Linked DNA regions of Rhinolophus ferrumequinum. The protein of the gene in region 2 purifies or fractionates together with the protein of the main gene of each other region. This does not show direct contact. Links are inferred from orthologs where the notes say so. Each region holds a gene or a part of one and is shown on either strand. Other genes may lie near its edges.

Region 1 (3,746 bases), on a different chromosome or scaffold from region 2:
TAATTCTCATCTGCCAAGGAGAAGGCTACAAAGGAATCCATCTCCAGTATTCTAGTCCCTAAACCAAATTTGATTTACAAAACACAGGTGTTCTGACGAAGGTAGGCTGTAAAAATATTTTTCCTGTGAAACCAATCCTATTTGTCCATTGAATGTCATTAGGAAACTGGAAATACAAGATACAATCCATGGGACATACACGTTTAGCACAAAATGCCTTAAGACAACAATCGAAAGGTACCACATAGCTGCTTCATGGCCCATTTTCAAAAACTTTGGAGAACTATCCCAAATCTAGGCAGTTCCTTCTGCTGCCTCGAAGAAAGGAACGCGAGTCATGAGGTGTTTTCACACAACTTTAGAGGACCACAGAGTTTGTTCTCCCTAAGGGTAATCCTCAGGACCTTCATGTATACGTGACTGACGTACAAATGCCAGAGCCATTTCACAAATGATTGTGCAAAATACTCATCTAAAATATCAACACCAAAGAAAACGACACCATAAAAAAAAATTAGTGGAAAAAAAAGTGTAAAGCTGCCCGTGAAAAGCATCCATACCTGTGGAAGTGCAGTGTTGAGCTGCCTCTGCAAGGAATCTCTTTCATGACCAACCTCGTGTAATTTCCCCTGGGTTAATGCCAGCGTTTCTTGAGTCTCTCTCAGCGTGTCAAGAAGACGGTCCCTCTCCTCCAGCATGGAGACCATCAACTGTTCAAAATGTGAATCTGCGTCTGGCTGCGAAGGGGAGCCGGACCCATGGCCCCCACTTCCTCCTGGGGGGCCTTCTGCTTCACTGATGGTCGGCATCACCTCGCACATCATCTTGAAACGAAAGACCCAGACTACAGTTATTAAGTGCCTCTCCCACAACTCTGCAAATTTACAGCCATCTGTAGCTAAAAAAAATGAAAGGCTGACGACCTCTTTATTCTCTTTATTCTCTGATGCCCTGAACATCAACAAGCTGGGAAAACATACACACGCAAATCCTAGGTGATGGAACATACAAGATAAAGGAAGACACAGACAGACAATAATTCAAGGAAGGGATAAAGACCAAAGACTACCCCTCGCATAAAGAACAAACCCTTGGTATTTTGTTTGCAGGGCTGTACTTCTAGTTGTTGAAAACAAGTGTGCTTCTGTAACCTATTTTTTTTTCCTATTTCCCGGTGGGGGAGAGAAAGTCAAAACACGTGCCACCCAATCACTTTTCAGGCAAAGCACAGAAGGCGCATACAGCCAGTAAAACTGACAAGTACAAAATCCATCAGGCATCTTACAGGAATGTGTGCAGTCAGCCCCTGGGAGGAACTGACGGCTCCCTGAAGGCTCGGGCTGGGTCTGGGGAGCCCTAAAAGGACTGGATTCGTTAAGGGTTGGGAGAGGAGTTTTTCAACGGCTGTAGTGGTTGGTCAGACAACCTAACTTATGTAAGTTAACAGAGCAAAAAAAAAAAAAAATTCCACAATGGAAACAGAGACGGTCGATACAGCCGTGGACGGCGAGGAAGGAAGGAAAAGTGAAAGATGAGATTTTGAGAGGCGACTAAGTGTCTCATCTATAACGATGGGGCGAGGAGCAAGGGAGCCGGTTCCTGAGGCTGCCGGCGGTATCCCGGGCTTGGCGGACCCCCGAGAGGGAGATGCCCGACACCGCGCACCGGATGGCGGTAACCTCCACCCACTCCCACCGCCCCTGGCGCTGCAGAGACCCCAGACCCCCGCCAGGATGGTGAGAACCACCTACAACAGCAGCGCTGCCTCGCTTGGGGCTTCCAGCGGCCACAGGTGCTTGTCCCCGGCGCCGGGGTCACCCGGGCGCCAGGGTCAGGGTTGGGGGCAGCGGGCGGTCCCAACAGCCCGTCCCTGAGGGCAGGGGCGCGTCGTCCGGGAGTCCCGGGCACTCGCAGAGCTCTCCCACCGGGCCCGGCGCCGCGGGCCTCGTCGCCAGCCCCCGCCCTCCACCCCCGGGGTGCACCCTTCACCCCGCGCTGACAGGAATCGGCCGCGCAGCCGCCGCGGGACGGGCCGGCGCCTGGGGCTCCGCTCCGCCCCGAGCCTGCCTCAGTGTCCCGCTGCCTTACCTTGCTCGCCGGCGGGAGCGGGCGAGAAGGCTCCGCGGCGGCTCGCGGGCGGCCGCTCGCTCCGGGCGAGCTTGGAGCCCGACGAAGGCAGCCCGCGCCCGCGCCCGCCGCCCGCCCCGCGCCCGCGGCCCCGGGCCCGCTGCCCCCAGTCACTAAGGCCGGCCCGCGGCCGGACACTGGCGGAGTGCAGGAGGAGCGGGCCCGGCTGCGCGACGCCGGCGTCAACGTGCCCGACGTCGGGCGCGACGGCACAGCGTCAGCGCCGAGCGCCGCCGACCCGCCCCGCCCCCCAGGAGGGGCGACGGGGAAAGGGCCGCGGCTGCCGACTGCGCAAGCGCCGCCTCCACAGGTGGGTGGGCTGCGCCTCCCGGGCGCCGATTGGATGGGCGCGGCCGGAGCCCCGCCCCTCCAGGCCCCACCTGTGTGCGGTCGCCTCGGCCCAGCAGTGGCTTCGGGCTCTGGTCCTCGTGCGCCGTCCGCATCTTCCACCTCTGGGCTTCCCCAAATTCTCCACCCACGGCGCGGGGACGCCAAAGCCGTTACTGAGCGTCTACTGTGCATCAGGTTCTGAGCCAGACACCTGCCCGACGTCACGTCTACACACCTTACGGGGGCGCGCGCCCGGGGGGAAGCCACCGGCTAGCGACAGGTCGGAGCCCGCGGTGTCACCTCCAGAGCCTCCTGGGAGCTGAGCCATGAGGACTCGGAAGGACGCGGTTTCTACGAAGACCCATTGGCCGAGCTCTACCTGCTGGGTTGGCAGAGACGGGCAGCGTTTGATGCTGGGGCTTCGGGGGCAGGGTCGAGAGGGCAGGCTTTGGAGCCAGGCACACCTGGTTCAACTGCCAGCAGATGCTTCTCCCTGCGATGTGTGCCTGGGCAACCGAGGGGAATTCGTCTGGGATTCACCTCATTTCTAGGGTGGGAAAATGATACAGACCTACCCCAGGGCTGGTAGCAAAAACAGAACATATGCAAAGAGCAGCTAGTCGAGAACCTGGCTGGGGAGGCGCTGTGTAGAATGGTAGTCGTTTTCATCCGACTCAAACATTTTTACGCATATTCACACTTAGGCAAGCTTTTGAAAACATCAGCTGTGTGCCACGTCCTGTGCTAGATGCCGCAGATACAGAGATTAACAAATACAGCTTTAATAAATAAAAACAGGTGCTCCGCCCTCCGGATTTGACTCCTGGAGCACAAACCTGTCACAAACCAGTCAGGGCACTGTTGCCAGGCACCAGTGGGCACTGTCCGGCGGTCCGTGGTGAGGCAGCCAGGAGCCCCTGAACTAATCGAGTTTAAGGAAAGGCTGCGTGGAAGGCTGGGTGAACCCTTTGGATTCCTTGATTCTCCACTGTGAGCCCAGCAAGTCCAGGTGCTACCTCTGATTGGCTTTCTCGCCTCCCGGAGTCCAGGACCACACCTTTTTCATTCATGTATTCATTCACTCTCGATTTATTGAGTGACTACACATCAATACGAATTTGCACCCCTGACCCAAGGTCTGAAATAGAGGAAAGTTTCCGGCTCTCCAAATATGTACCCGCTGAATTCATCCAGCTCGTATTTGCACCATGCTCCTAAAGTACCTGTCTCCTAAGAAATCGACAAAATACCAACATTTAGTTCAACAGGGTAGAATGTTCGTTTACATC
Region 2 (3,746 bases):
TGCTCTCTCCTTTTTAACAGGCTTGATATTCCAATTTTGGAATGAGTTAACTTGGACTTCACTACCCACAAGAGAAGTAGGGTCTAAAAAGTCCTGCGTGTCACGTAAAGTGAAAATTCAAAAATGAAGCAAGGCTGGCCCCAGTGACATGTATGTTTTTTTGCAAGAATAGGTGGTACCTGTCACCTTGGAGGAACATTTAATCTCCACACTGCAGCCAAAGCCACTAGTAGCAGGAACCCTAATCCTCTGCAATTCCCCTAAATGCAGGACTTGGGTTCACTGGTGGTTTAAACTGACACCTAATGGTGTCTCCTGGGGCCACCGTGGCTGTTTAGTTTCAGTGTCAGGTGTGCAGAAGTGAAATCAGATGTGGTTGTTCCCTTCACTGGTCAGATCTCAGATATCCGGACTCCTGCCAGTGGTCTAGCTGTTTAGGGTGCCACTAGGAAAACTATAGACTGGCAGATTAAAGACGACCCTCTCTGGTGGCTGTGAAGTGTTGAAACTAATTGCAGTGCTGAACTAATCGTCTGGGTTATCATTTCGACGTCCATGGTAAGGCCCTGTTCTTGAAAGTCTGGCCAGAATCAACCTCCTGATTAAGCCTGTTTCTGTGCAGAGGCTATCTGGGGGCTTGAGGGCCAAGCCTGAAGAGGCAGGGAAGGAGAGACATTGATGTAAAGATCTGACAATTGAAAAGGAAAAGCTCTCCAAGTAGGAGGTACAGTTTCGGCGAAGTCTTGTTGGAATGAAAAAGTATGATGTGCTCAGGCGGCTCTAATTTTCCAGGTCGGTGCAAATGTAACAAGGGGAGATGGGAGATGGAGGGCTCAAAAATGAGACGCGCAGGGTCTTGAAGACCAGCCTCAAGGGTTTAGTTTTTAATCCAGACATCAAGGCAAGTCGCCACCCTTTTCGGGGGCGTCGGCATAATAAGGCATAAATCAAAGACTCACACCCTCCTTCTCCAGCACAATGGCACGGATTCCGCCTTCCAGCCAACCTGGCCGGTATCTCACAAGCGAAAACCTGCAGACTGCCTCGGTCCCAAGACGTTATGCATTCCTTACGACGCACGCGCAGAAACTTTCTCCAGGACTCTCAGAAGGGCAGGCTTCACCTCGTCCAATCCTGTCCCTCATTGGCTACAAACAACTGCTCGTCTGGGCCGTTGTTAGTGGCGACGTAGGCGGGTACAATCTTGGTCGCTAAGATACCACGTACTTCCGTTACCTTCCTCCGTCGTCCTTGGCTCCGACAGGCCCTTCCACCAATGGCAAATGGGCAATAGGCGGGACTTCATTTGTTCGGACCAAAGAAACACGGGTCTGGCCGGGAGTAGGGCGGCCAATGACGGTGGGGCAACCCCTGTAGAGTGGCTCGGTCGCCCCCACGCTCGCCTTCCCTCCTCCTCTCGGACCTGCCCCTCCCTAGCCCCGAGTCAGCACCGTGCTAACCGCAGTCTGACAGGAACGGGACGCAGCCAAGATGGCGGCGGCCGACGGCGACGATTCCCTTTACCCCATCGCGGTGCTCATAGACGAGCTCCGCAACGAGGATGTTCAGGTTCGGAGGCCACGGGGGACTTGGGGAAACGGGAAGGGGGACCTGGGGGCACGAGCGGCCCTCGCGGAGTAAAGTCGCAGTTCGCTGGGAGTGGCGGAAGAGGGCGGCAGCCAATCAGCGTCCACCTCTCATCTCCCTGGGTCCCCAGACTCGGTGATACGGCGCCCGGGATTGGGTGTCGGCCCTCCAGAGGGCGGGAGCGAGGCCGAGGATCCCGGGCCTGCAAAGTGCGCGCGGCGGCCCAGGGTCTGGGAGGCCGCGGTCCGCGAGGGGGCCGGCGGGCTGGGTTAGGGAGACCGGGGATTCGGTGATTGGCGGTGACCCCTGAAGGGCCCCTTTGGGATGGGGAGGGCGCGTGAGTAGCTCCGAGTGGGGGAGGGGCCACCTGGTTTATTGGGACCCAGGTAGGATTCTTCCTTTTTGGGTTTCGGCGGCTGGGCCTCAGCGCTGTGGGGTAAACCCCAGATGGGGACTGAGAGGCGAAGGTTTCCTTTCCAATTCCTGCCCGCCGTCCCCCTCCAAATTTGGTGTAGCCCCGACAAAGGGGATCGAGGGCGAAAACACCCCACCCCAAGAGGGAATTCGTTAAATTTAGGAGTGAATTAAGAGGTGGAAACCCGCCCCGCTTCTGGGATCCTCTCATTGTCTGGGGGGTGGGCAGTTTACTAGACGGGCTGACACATTTCTGGTGAGTGGGATGGGGAGGCCCAGGGCCCTGAGCCCGGCTGGCAAGGGATTGAGAAGAGTTAGGACTCTGCGGTTTGCCCACCCCAGCTCCACTTCCCACCCGCCGCGTAACCTTGTGCAAATTACTTCACTGCTCTGGGCCTCTGTTTTCCATAAAATGTGGGCTAATAATAGTTCCGGCCTCTCTGCTGGGTGTTGGAGGAACTGAACGAGTTAATAATACAAGTAAAAGAGAACCATGTCTAGCGTGTTGTAATAGCCCAATAAATCTTAGCTGTAATTTTTGGGAGTGGTGACTGGAGAGGTCCCATCTCCCTTTGGGCCTCAATTTCCTTCTTTATAAAATTGAGCCGGTTTGCCCGGGGCCCAGCCTCTGAGGGTCTGGGTATATCACTCTGGTTCTGGAATCAGACAGGCTGCGGTTGTGCAGCTGGCTCTTCCGCTTGCTGATTGACATGAGCCACTTAGTTAAGGTCACCAAGACTTGGTTTCCTTTTTGTTTTAAACGGAGGTCATTATCTAGTTCATAGGACTGTTGTACGGACTCATCTGTTCAGTGAACACCTGCCACATAGCAGGTATGGTGCTGTGGATATAATGATGACACCAGTTTTTATACTAGACAGATGTCTCCTACAAGAGACAGATGTGAGACAGGTGACTACATTAACGCGTGTTAGATGTGATGGGAAGGAAATGGCAGGATATTGTGATAATGAGTCAGTAACTATTTTTGGAGCTTCTGCTCTGTGCAGGGCCCTGCTCTAGGCACAGTTACACAGCGGAACAAGACACAAAACTCCTGGCCTTGTGGAGCTTATGCTCTAGTGAGGGGAAACATAATAAACAAGACAATGAGTAAAATGTGTTGTATGTTCCATGAGGATAAGTGCTAAAGAGAAAAATGAAGAGGGGTGGGGGGTGCAATTGTAAAGAGTGGTCCAGGAAGGCCTTGCTGAGAGGTGATGTTTGAGCAAAGATCTGAAGGCCACAAGGGAAGAAGCCAGGAGGCTGTCTGGGCAGAGTACACAGCAGGCAGGAAGTGGGGTGGGAAAGATCGTTTTAAGTAGGCCAATCAGAGAGGGCTCCCTCTGAGGACACAGAGTTTAAGGTGAGACCAGAAGAAGGAGCCAGCTCCAGGAAGGTGGTGAAGAGCCCTCCAGGAAGAGAGAGCAGACAGGTAATGGCAGTTCTCAACCCATGGTGATTTTGCCCATCAGGAGACATTTGGTAATGTCTGGAGATGTTTTTGCTTGTCCCAACTGGGGAAATGTTACTGGCATCTAGTGGATAGAAGCTAGGAAAGCTGTTAAACCTCCTGCAATGCCCAGAACAGCCCACATAACAAAGATTTGTCTGCTCAAAATGTCCGTGAGATTGAGAGAAACCCTTGTGGGGAACTCTTGAGGCAAATTTAGTGGCTTAAAAGAATACTGATTTATTATCTTACAGTTCTGAGAGTCAGAAGTCTGACATGGGACTCAATGGGC

The links. The genes of interacting proteins can lie anywhere in the genome.
Region 1: the proteins of PPP2R1A (region 2) and PPFIA1 purify together in Homo sapiens (affinity purification with mass spectrometry; 7 studies listed by BioGRID and IntAct, with this or other methods). This does not show direct contact. The link is inferred for Rhinolophus ferrumequinum from reciprocal best matches to the Homo sapiens genes PPP2R1A and PPFIA1.

What each region holds. Positions count from the first base shown.
Region 1 is NC_046294.1:3,076,648-3,080,393, forward strand, and holds the start of PPFIA1 (liprin-alpha-1), read right to left. Parts: upstream 2,307-3,746; 5' UTR 2,089-2,306; intron 825-2,088; coding exon 561-824; intron 1-560. UniProt on the Homo sapiens protein: May regulate the disassembly of focal adhesions. May localize receptor-like tyrosine phosphatases type 2A at specific sites on the plasma membrane, possibly regulating their interaction with the extracellular environment and their association with substrates.
Region 2 is NC_046298.1:46,567,001-46,570,746, forward strand, and holds the start of PPP2R1A (serine/threonine-protein phosphatase 2A 65 kDa regulatory subunit A alpha isoform), read left to right. Parts: upstream 1-1,344; 5' UTR 1,345-1,491; coding exon 1,492-1,569; intron 1,570-3,746. UniProt on the Homo sapiens protein: The PR65 subunit of protein phosphatase 2A serves as a scaffolding molecule to coordinate the assembly of the catalytic subunit and a variable regulatory B subunit.